Caenorhabditis elegans: one gene and its partner. The protein of the gene in region 1 purifies or fractionates together with the protein of each later gene. This does not show direct contact. Each region holds a gene or a part of one and is shown on either strand. Other genes may lie near its edges.

Evidence for each region. Proteins that work in one complex are often made in the same cells at the same time.
Region 2: the proteins of T05A7.1 (region 1) and emg-1 fractionate together in Caenorhabditis elegans (co-fractionation; one large-scale study listed by BioGRID). This does not show direct contact.

Annotation. Positions count from the first base shown.
Region 1 is NC_003280.10:4,676,158-4,679,912, reverse strand, and holds T05A7.1 (uncharacterized protein), read right to left. Parts: upstream 1,698-3,755; 5' UTR 1,696-1,697; coding exon 1,575-1,695; intron 1,516-1,574; coding exon 1,266-1,515; intron 768-1,265; coding exon 683-767; intron 634-682; coding exon 553-633; intron 505-552; coding exon 385-504; 3' UTR 278-384; downstream 1-277. Other genes in the region: T05A7.7 (EB domain-containing protein), read left to right, coding at 51-163; T05A7.3 (CUB domain-containing protein), read right to left, coding at 3,665-3,755.
Region 2 is NC_003281.10:10,647,394-10,651,148, forward strand, and holds emg-1 (Ribosomal RNA small subunit methyltransferase nep-1), read left to right. Parts: upstream 1-2,125; coding exon 2,126-2,492; intron 2,493-2,829; coding exon 2,830-3,158; 3' UTR 3,159-3,515; downstream 3,516-3,755. Other genes in the region: orc-4 (ORC (Origin Recognition Complex) subunit), read left to right, coding at 225-393, 785-898, 1,124-1,265, 1,318-1,420.

The DNA of each region.
Region 1 (3,755 bases):
CCTGACCAAGAACCCCAAAGAACCATTTCAAATTTTTAAAAATATTTCAGCTTGCCACAACCTAATATCTTGTCCAATGGGAATGATCTGTCAATTTGGAAGGTGCCTGCCAAATGGAATGCCACCAAACATGATGATGATGAATCAGATGTATGGAAAATGATTATTCGAGTTTTTGTAAAGTCTGGTTTGGTTATTTTTTAAATGTAAATATATATTTTTCTTCTAGTCAATAAATTTGTTATTTAAAAAAATTCAAGCTTAAATCTCACAACCAGGGAAGATTACACTTTTATTCACAGACATACCCGAAAACAATGGTTGCTAGTAAAATATGAATATGCATTTTTGACAGGAAAATTAGTTTTTATGCAAGCTTGAGCTTTAATCTTCGTCGTCTTTCTCATTGAGCCCCATTTTGAGATCTGTGTAACCCGTTGGAAGGGCAAATTCAACGATTTTCTTGCCCTCGGATGCGATAGAGATTTTGATTCGATAGTTGCCCTGCAAAAAGTTCAATTTGGGAAGACTCGCCAAAAATCTAGAGCTAACCTTCATCACATCTAACAATGAGATTCCTAAGAAGCTTGGAGACGCAGGAAGTTCCAACGTGGCATTGAATGCATTTTTTGTCTGAAATTGTTAAATTAATAACCTAAATATACGATCAGAACCAAAATACCTCGAGCTCTTTCAATGTATGAAGTCCTTTTTGTTGAAGTGTTTTACAAATATCCACCGGGAAAAATGAGCTCATCTCGAAGTTGCTGAAATGTTTAAAAAAATTAGACAGAATTAGGAATTTTTTAGTACTGTAAATAAATAGTACCAAAAATTGGGTCAAAAACTTTCCGAGATGCTGTAAATAGGAAAAAATTTGCAAAGACAATTTTCTGGCAGAAGTGTATAAAAAGTTGTCAACTATAATATTTCCAGAAAATTGCAATTGCATTCAGGATGTCATTCAAACCAGGGGTGGGCAGCATTTGCCGTTTTTGGCCGTTTTTCTCGATATTTTGATAGAATTTGCTTAATTTTCAAAGTACGTTTCATTTCAGGATGCGTGCAATGTTGTCGATTAAAATTGAAATTCTGAATTTTCCAAAAAAAGTACAAAACCACAATTAGTCGAAAGTTTTCGGCTATTGCCGTTTATCCAACAATTTAGGCAAATCGGAAAAATTTGCCGATTTGCCGAAAAATTGTTTGCCGCCCACCCCTGATTCAAGTGTTCATCTAAGCAAAAGAAAAAAGCAAAAACCAACCACAACGACTCGGGAACAATGAACATATCTGAATGTCCGTTCAAACAAATATGATCACCATCCAACGCGACACTGACAGACACTGCTCCGTCTTTGACAACATCGAAATCTCGAGATGTATCTACTTCTCCACTCTTGATCACAAACCATCCTGGCATCACCACATTCACTTTTCGCTTGTAACACGACGGCTTCATATCATGATCGTAGACATGGATTCGGATATTTCGAATTTCCACTGGGAGAGTTTCTGAAATTTCAATTTTTTTCAGATGAAATAATGACTGTAAAAACTTTTCAAAAACTAACCGTTTCCATATGAATCCACTGTAATGACATTATGCACTCCATCCCGACATTTTGATGAGTTTATTCCAGATGATAACGTGACAATAATTATTGAGAGAATGGTTTGGATACTTAACCGCATCTGAAAATTCGGAACTTGAAAAAAATCATTGATCCAGAAAATTGAGATGGAAAATAGAGAAACGCGAAGGGAGAAAAAATATTTGGAAATCTGGTTTTTTAGGCTACAATTTAAAATAACGTCGGTCAAAGGCAGGGTTGATGTTCGGTTTGATAAAATATTTTCAAATTTACTTTCTATGGCAAATAACATAAAATGAAAAAGAAGAAAAGGTCAAAAAATCAAAACGAATTTATGTGTAGATCAAAAATTATTAGCACACATAAAACTAGACCCGCTAGGAAATCGATTCAGATTTTGTGAACGAGAGGAAAAATACATGCTAATTAATGCAAATTTTTAGATGGGGGTGGATAGCTGGTTGCCCAAGTCATACAATCTAGAAAAATGGTATAATTTTTGACAAACCATTTTCTGATCTAAAGATTTCAGAGAAATGCTACTGCATCAGTTTAATTTTTGGTGTAAAATGTTTTTATTTGAATAGGATATCATTGAATGCAAGTGAAATAGAAATTTAAAAAAAAAACGTTGGCGGATAGGTTTTCAAAACAAAGCACTCCACCTAAATACAAGATTAGATAATTTATCTGTTTTTTGTGTTATTCCGCTAACCAATATGTTCAAATGGCCAAGACTCCTACAAAAACAAACAATTCGTGACGTTGGTGAAGTTTCAAAAAACTACGGAAAAACATGGTCAATTGCTGAGGTTCACAGCTATTTTTTAGCAAACGGATCATGGTTAAAGGATTAAAGAAAAATATTTTCACAAATGTTTGAAAATCGCATTATATAAACCTAGTAAATATCAAGACAATATCTACATGCAAAATGAACAGATCGCGAAAACCTTATCAATATTGTTTATCAATGGGTCCAAACTACTCGAATACTAGTTAATGTGTTCTCTGTAACAATAGACTATAGAATTTTATTTGTTAAAAATTAGATTTCCTGCCAAAAACCAATGACCTCACAATTTCTGCCGTCGTCAATTGTCTCATTTGTCAATTGAAAGTGATATCATTCTTGATTTCTGATAAAAACCAGTTATTGGGGAATTCGAGAAAAAGTGAATAAGATTTCAATAAGAAATTTGAATTTGAAAAAATGAATTGAAATTGGACTATTTCATTTTAATTTATTGATAGAGCATTAAAAAACATTTGATAGCTTTAACTTCAGTTGAAAATTTTGAAAAACGCTCACGTATAGTTTGAAAGTTGAAAATTGATGGAAAAAATTGACAAATAATGCGACATTTTTTCCTGTAACTTCCGACTTTCAGACAATTTTTGAGCATTTTTTAAAACTGTTCCAACTGAAATTAAAGCAAATGTTTTTTCTAGACTCTGTAACTAAATTTTAATAACAAATATTGGCTCATTTCGTAAAAATGCTTGTCAACGATTACCAATTTGGTGTGAACTAACTTGGAATTGATGTCCGCGGGAATTTTTGGGTTAATTATTTTTATCACTTTCTCATTTTATTTTCTTTCAAAAATTCGAAATTTCAGCCCCCAAAGTCACAAAATTCTGTCGACTCATTTTTAAATATTTCAAATCAATTTTTCCAACTAAAGATCGGTTTAAAGGTTTTTTTGATGCAGAGCAAAATACCCACAAGTGCTCAAAATTGTTATTTTCTAAAGCCAAAAATCCAAAAAACACATTAGTAAATAATATAATAACTTGTAAACTTGATGTTGATCATGATCATAGCCGATGCAATCATAGACCAGAAGTTTAGAGAACGAGAATTTACGGTGACAAGTGATTGGTAGTCAGCTGCTTGTGCACTCGTGAAGATGAGTCAATGAGTCTGGGTACCTACTTGTTGGTCCAATATGATTGCGGATCAAAAAGATACGATTCTCGTGACTTTTTTTTTCAAAACTCTGAAGCTTCTTTGTGGAAAACTCTTAAAAATAATTCCAATGATTTATTATTTTATGATTTTTTAGTTAGAAGGATAAAAATTTTGCTGAAAATCCACGATATCCATTATAATTCCCACTTGTGAAAGAGACAGTCATTGTGTTGGAGCTGCTGTAA
Region 2 (3,755 bases), on another chromosome or scaffold:
TGTAGTTGTTTTTTTTTATTTTCTTTTTAGAAAGAAAATGTTATCCAATTTAATTCTCATAAAATGCGAGGGTATTTCATGATTTTATAGCCAATTTAGCATGAGATATCCGTACAATCTTACGATAATTAAATTGGATAACATTTTCATTCCAAAAATGAAAATAAAACAAATAAAATCATATTTTTCGGCTTTTCAACCCCCATTAAAGTCCATATTCTCAGACAAGTCACTACGTCGTTCTGAAACAATTGGCCGCGCAATTCCTGATGCTTTTCGGTTACTATTGTGACGTAGAAGACACGTGGAAACCCGAGGAAATCAGCAAACAGATTCGTAAAATTGTCGAGACGACTTCTCCCTCGTATAATGGAAAATTGTTGATTTTAAAAGGTAGAAATTCTGCTAAAACTTTGAAAAAGGCAGAAAAAACCCACGATTTTCTAATTTTGAAAACAAAAAATGAACAATTCAAGTTCACTTTTTGAAATTCCGCAAAGAATTAAAAATTCTGATTTCAAATCTGGAAATTGAGCTGATAAAGTAATTTTTTACCTTTTTTTTTCGGAACAAATTTCAAATTTTAAACAACTTTAAAATGTAAAAAATCATGCAAAAATCGTGATTTTCAATCAAAACCTATTTTAATCTTTACAGCTTTTGAAATTTTTCTGAAAAATTAAAAAAATCCGGTAAAATCTAGAAAAAACTAATTATATACTGTTTTTTCGGCTCAAAAATTTAATAATTCCAGTGAAATTCTAAAAATTTTTCAAATTTTCAGATCAAACAGTTCGAGCACAATGCGTTTTTCTTTGTGTCTGGAGACTTGTGCAGAATAAAGAGTCAGATGGACCACTTTTGGCGCCAAAAACTTCGTATCGAAACGTTTTTCTAGGTATTTTTTAAAATTTATCTCGGAATTTTCGATTTTTCGAATTTTTAAAAATTGAAAAACGAAAAATTTTTCGATTTTTTGAATTTCCGAAAAATTAAGAAAATGTTCAGAAAATTAACCATAAAATATGATTTTTTTTAAATCTAATTTTCGATTATATTGATGAGAAAAAACATGAAAATTTTAAGCTTATTTTTTAAAAATCTATTTTCTCCGTAATTTCAGAATTCAAAAAACTCGTTAATCAACACTATCCTCCACTGAACGTGAGCAGTGATGTCTACGTATTCCGAGAATTGGATCATCTCGTTAAAATGGGAATTTTGAAGGCAGACGAGAGCACAAATGTGACAAATACCTCGTTTCGGTGGGTTTTTTTTTCAGCTGAAAAATTCACCTCAAATCCTCTTTTTTTTCAGAAAAGTTTGGCTTCATATCAATGATAAAATTGTGGAGGACTCGATCTCGAAGTTGCAGCTCCCGCGAGTTGTTTCCGACTTTTTTATGACTATTTTGAAGTAATTTTGATATTTTTTGTACTATTTGCAATGAAGATTGATCTCGATATTTATATTTTTGTTGAGTTTTTTTTTCTGTGAGAATTATTTTCGGTTTAAAAACCATCATATTATTTTTTGAACTTGTTTTATAAAAATCTTTACAGGAGCTTCAAAAATCGAAAAAATAAAATAAAACCATTTTTCGTTAATTCAAAAATCCCGAAATAAAATATTTAGTTAAATTTTCATGTTTTAGGGGAAATTCGACAAAAAAAGGAACTCACTGAAATTTTTGAAAAACCGTTCAAATTTACAAATTTTTTCGTTTTTGAGTTTTTGAGTTTTTTGATTTTCGACTTACATTTTCTCCGCAGAAATTTTTCAGTGTTTTTGACGAAAAAATATCGAAAAACGAAAAAAGAAGTGAAAACTTTTAATTTATCAAAAATTATGTATATTCCTATATTGATAGATATGGAAAATTAGAAATTTTTCCAAAAGTCGAAAAACTCAATTTTATTTCCAAAAAAGCGGCATTTTTTCGAAAATTTTACAGAACGACCTATCGTTGTTCCCACAGCTTTTATTTAAAATTTGTGCTAAACTATAAAAAATCACAATATTATTCAGAAAATAATTTTTTTTTCATCAGAATTATTGAAAATTCGATTTTTGGTCCTAAAAAAATTACTTTATGACAAAAAAAATTAATTTCTCCGAATTTCAGATGTCCCACGAGTACGATACAGTTGCACCGCCAAATGCGAAGCGCATGAAGACGGATAATCAATTGGAGGACAAGAAGATTTTGTACGTTGTACTGGAAGGATGTAGTCTTGAAACTGCAAAAGTCGGTGGAGAATACGCAATTTTGAGCAGTGATAAACACGCGAATTTTCTGAGAAAACAGAAAAAAGATCCGGCTGATTATCGGCCAGATATCCTACATCAATGCTTGTTGAATCTACTTGATAGTCCGCTTAACAGAGCCGGAAAGCTTCGTGTCTTCTTTAGAACGAGCAAGAATGTGCTCGTTGATGTCTCACCACAGTGCAGAATTCCAAGAACTTTTGATCGATTCTGTGGACTTATGGGTGAGTTTTTGGTTTATTGGAAATTGAAAAAAATATATTTTGAAGTGTTTTTGTATGTAAAATAAGAAAAAAGACAATTTTTCGAGTTTTTTAAAAATTATTTTTTATCAAATTTAAACATAAATTTTTAAAAATACCCTTTTCCTTTTAAAAATACCCGGATTCAAAATACCCCAAAATAGTCTGAAAATCAAAAAAAAATTCACAAAAAAGAGCACAAAAATCCAATTTTCAAAAACATGCTTTAAAATACTTTTTATTGGATTTTTTGTGACTTTTCTTGCAATTAGGTATTTTTATGCAAAATCCCCCTATTTTCTATTTTCCATATTTTCAGTCCAACTCCTGCACAAACTCTCCATTCGAGCCGCCGAAACCACTCAAAAGCTGATGTCAGTAGTGAAGAATCCAGTGTCGAACCATCTTCCAGTGGGATCCCGTAAGATGCTCATGTCGTTCAATGTACCTGAGCTAACAATGGCTAATAAGCTTGTTGCACCGGAAACCGACGAGCCTCTGGTCCTTATTATCGGTGGAATTGCTCGTGGAAAGATCGTCGTCGATTACAACGATTCTGAGACCAAGATCAGCAATTATCCATTGAGTGCAGCGTTGACTTGTGCCAAAGTGACCAGTGGACTTGAGGAGATTTGGGGAATTATTTAATTGATTTTTTGCAGTTTTTTCATTTTATTGTTGTCTGTTTTTGTTACTATCTTCATCTTATAAAGTGCAAAATCACTTTTTTTTTTCGAAAAAAAATGCCGTTTTTTTGTAAATTTCAATGTCTATTTCTTACTTTTACACTGAAATTGTTTTAAAAAAATCAAATATTCTAAAAACCCAAAAAATTAGTTTTTTCTTTGATTTTCCTTTCGTAGAGTTCTCTTTTTTTTTTATTTTTTCAGTTTTATTAGGTAGTAATTTAAAACGTTTTAAAATTTTACAATATTTGGCATAAAATTCGGCAAAAACTTTTTTTTTTCAGAAAAATTCTAAATAAAAAAGTCCAGGAGCCTAACTTTTCAGTTTTTACCAATTTTTCAGACAAAATCGAAGAATAATCGTGAAAAATGCGATTTTTTCGCTAAAAATACGGTAGCTGGTATCGAAGCGACAATTTTTTTAGTTGCAGAAGGATGTGCGCCTTTAAAGAGTACTGTAGTTTTAAACTTTCGTTGTTGCGGAATTTTTATTGATTTTTTGTAGTTTTTCGATAAATTATCGATTAAAAAAAAAAGATAAACTCAAATAAAAAATTAA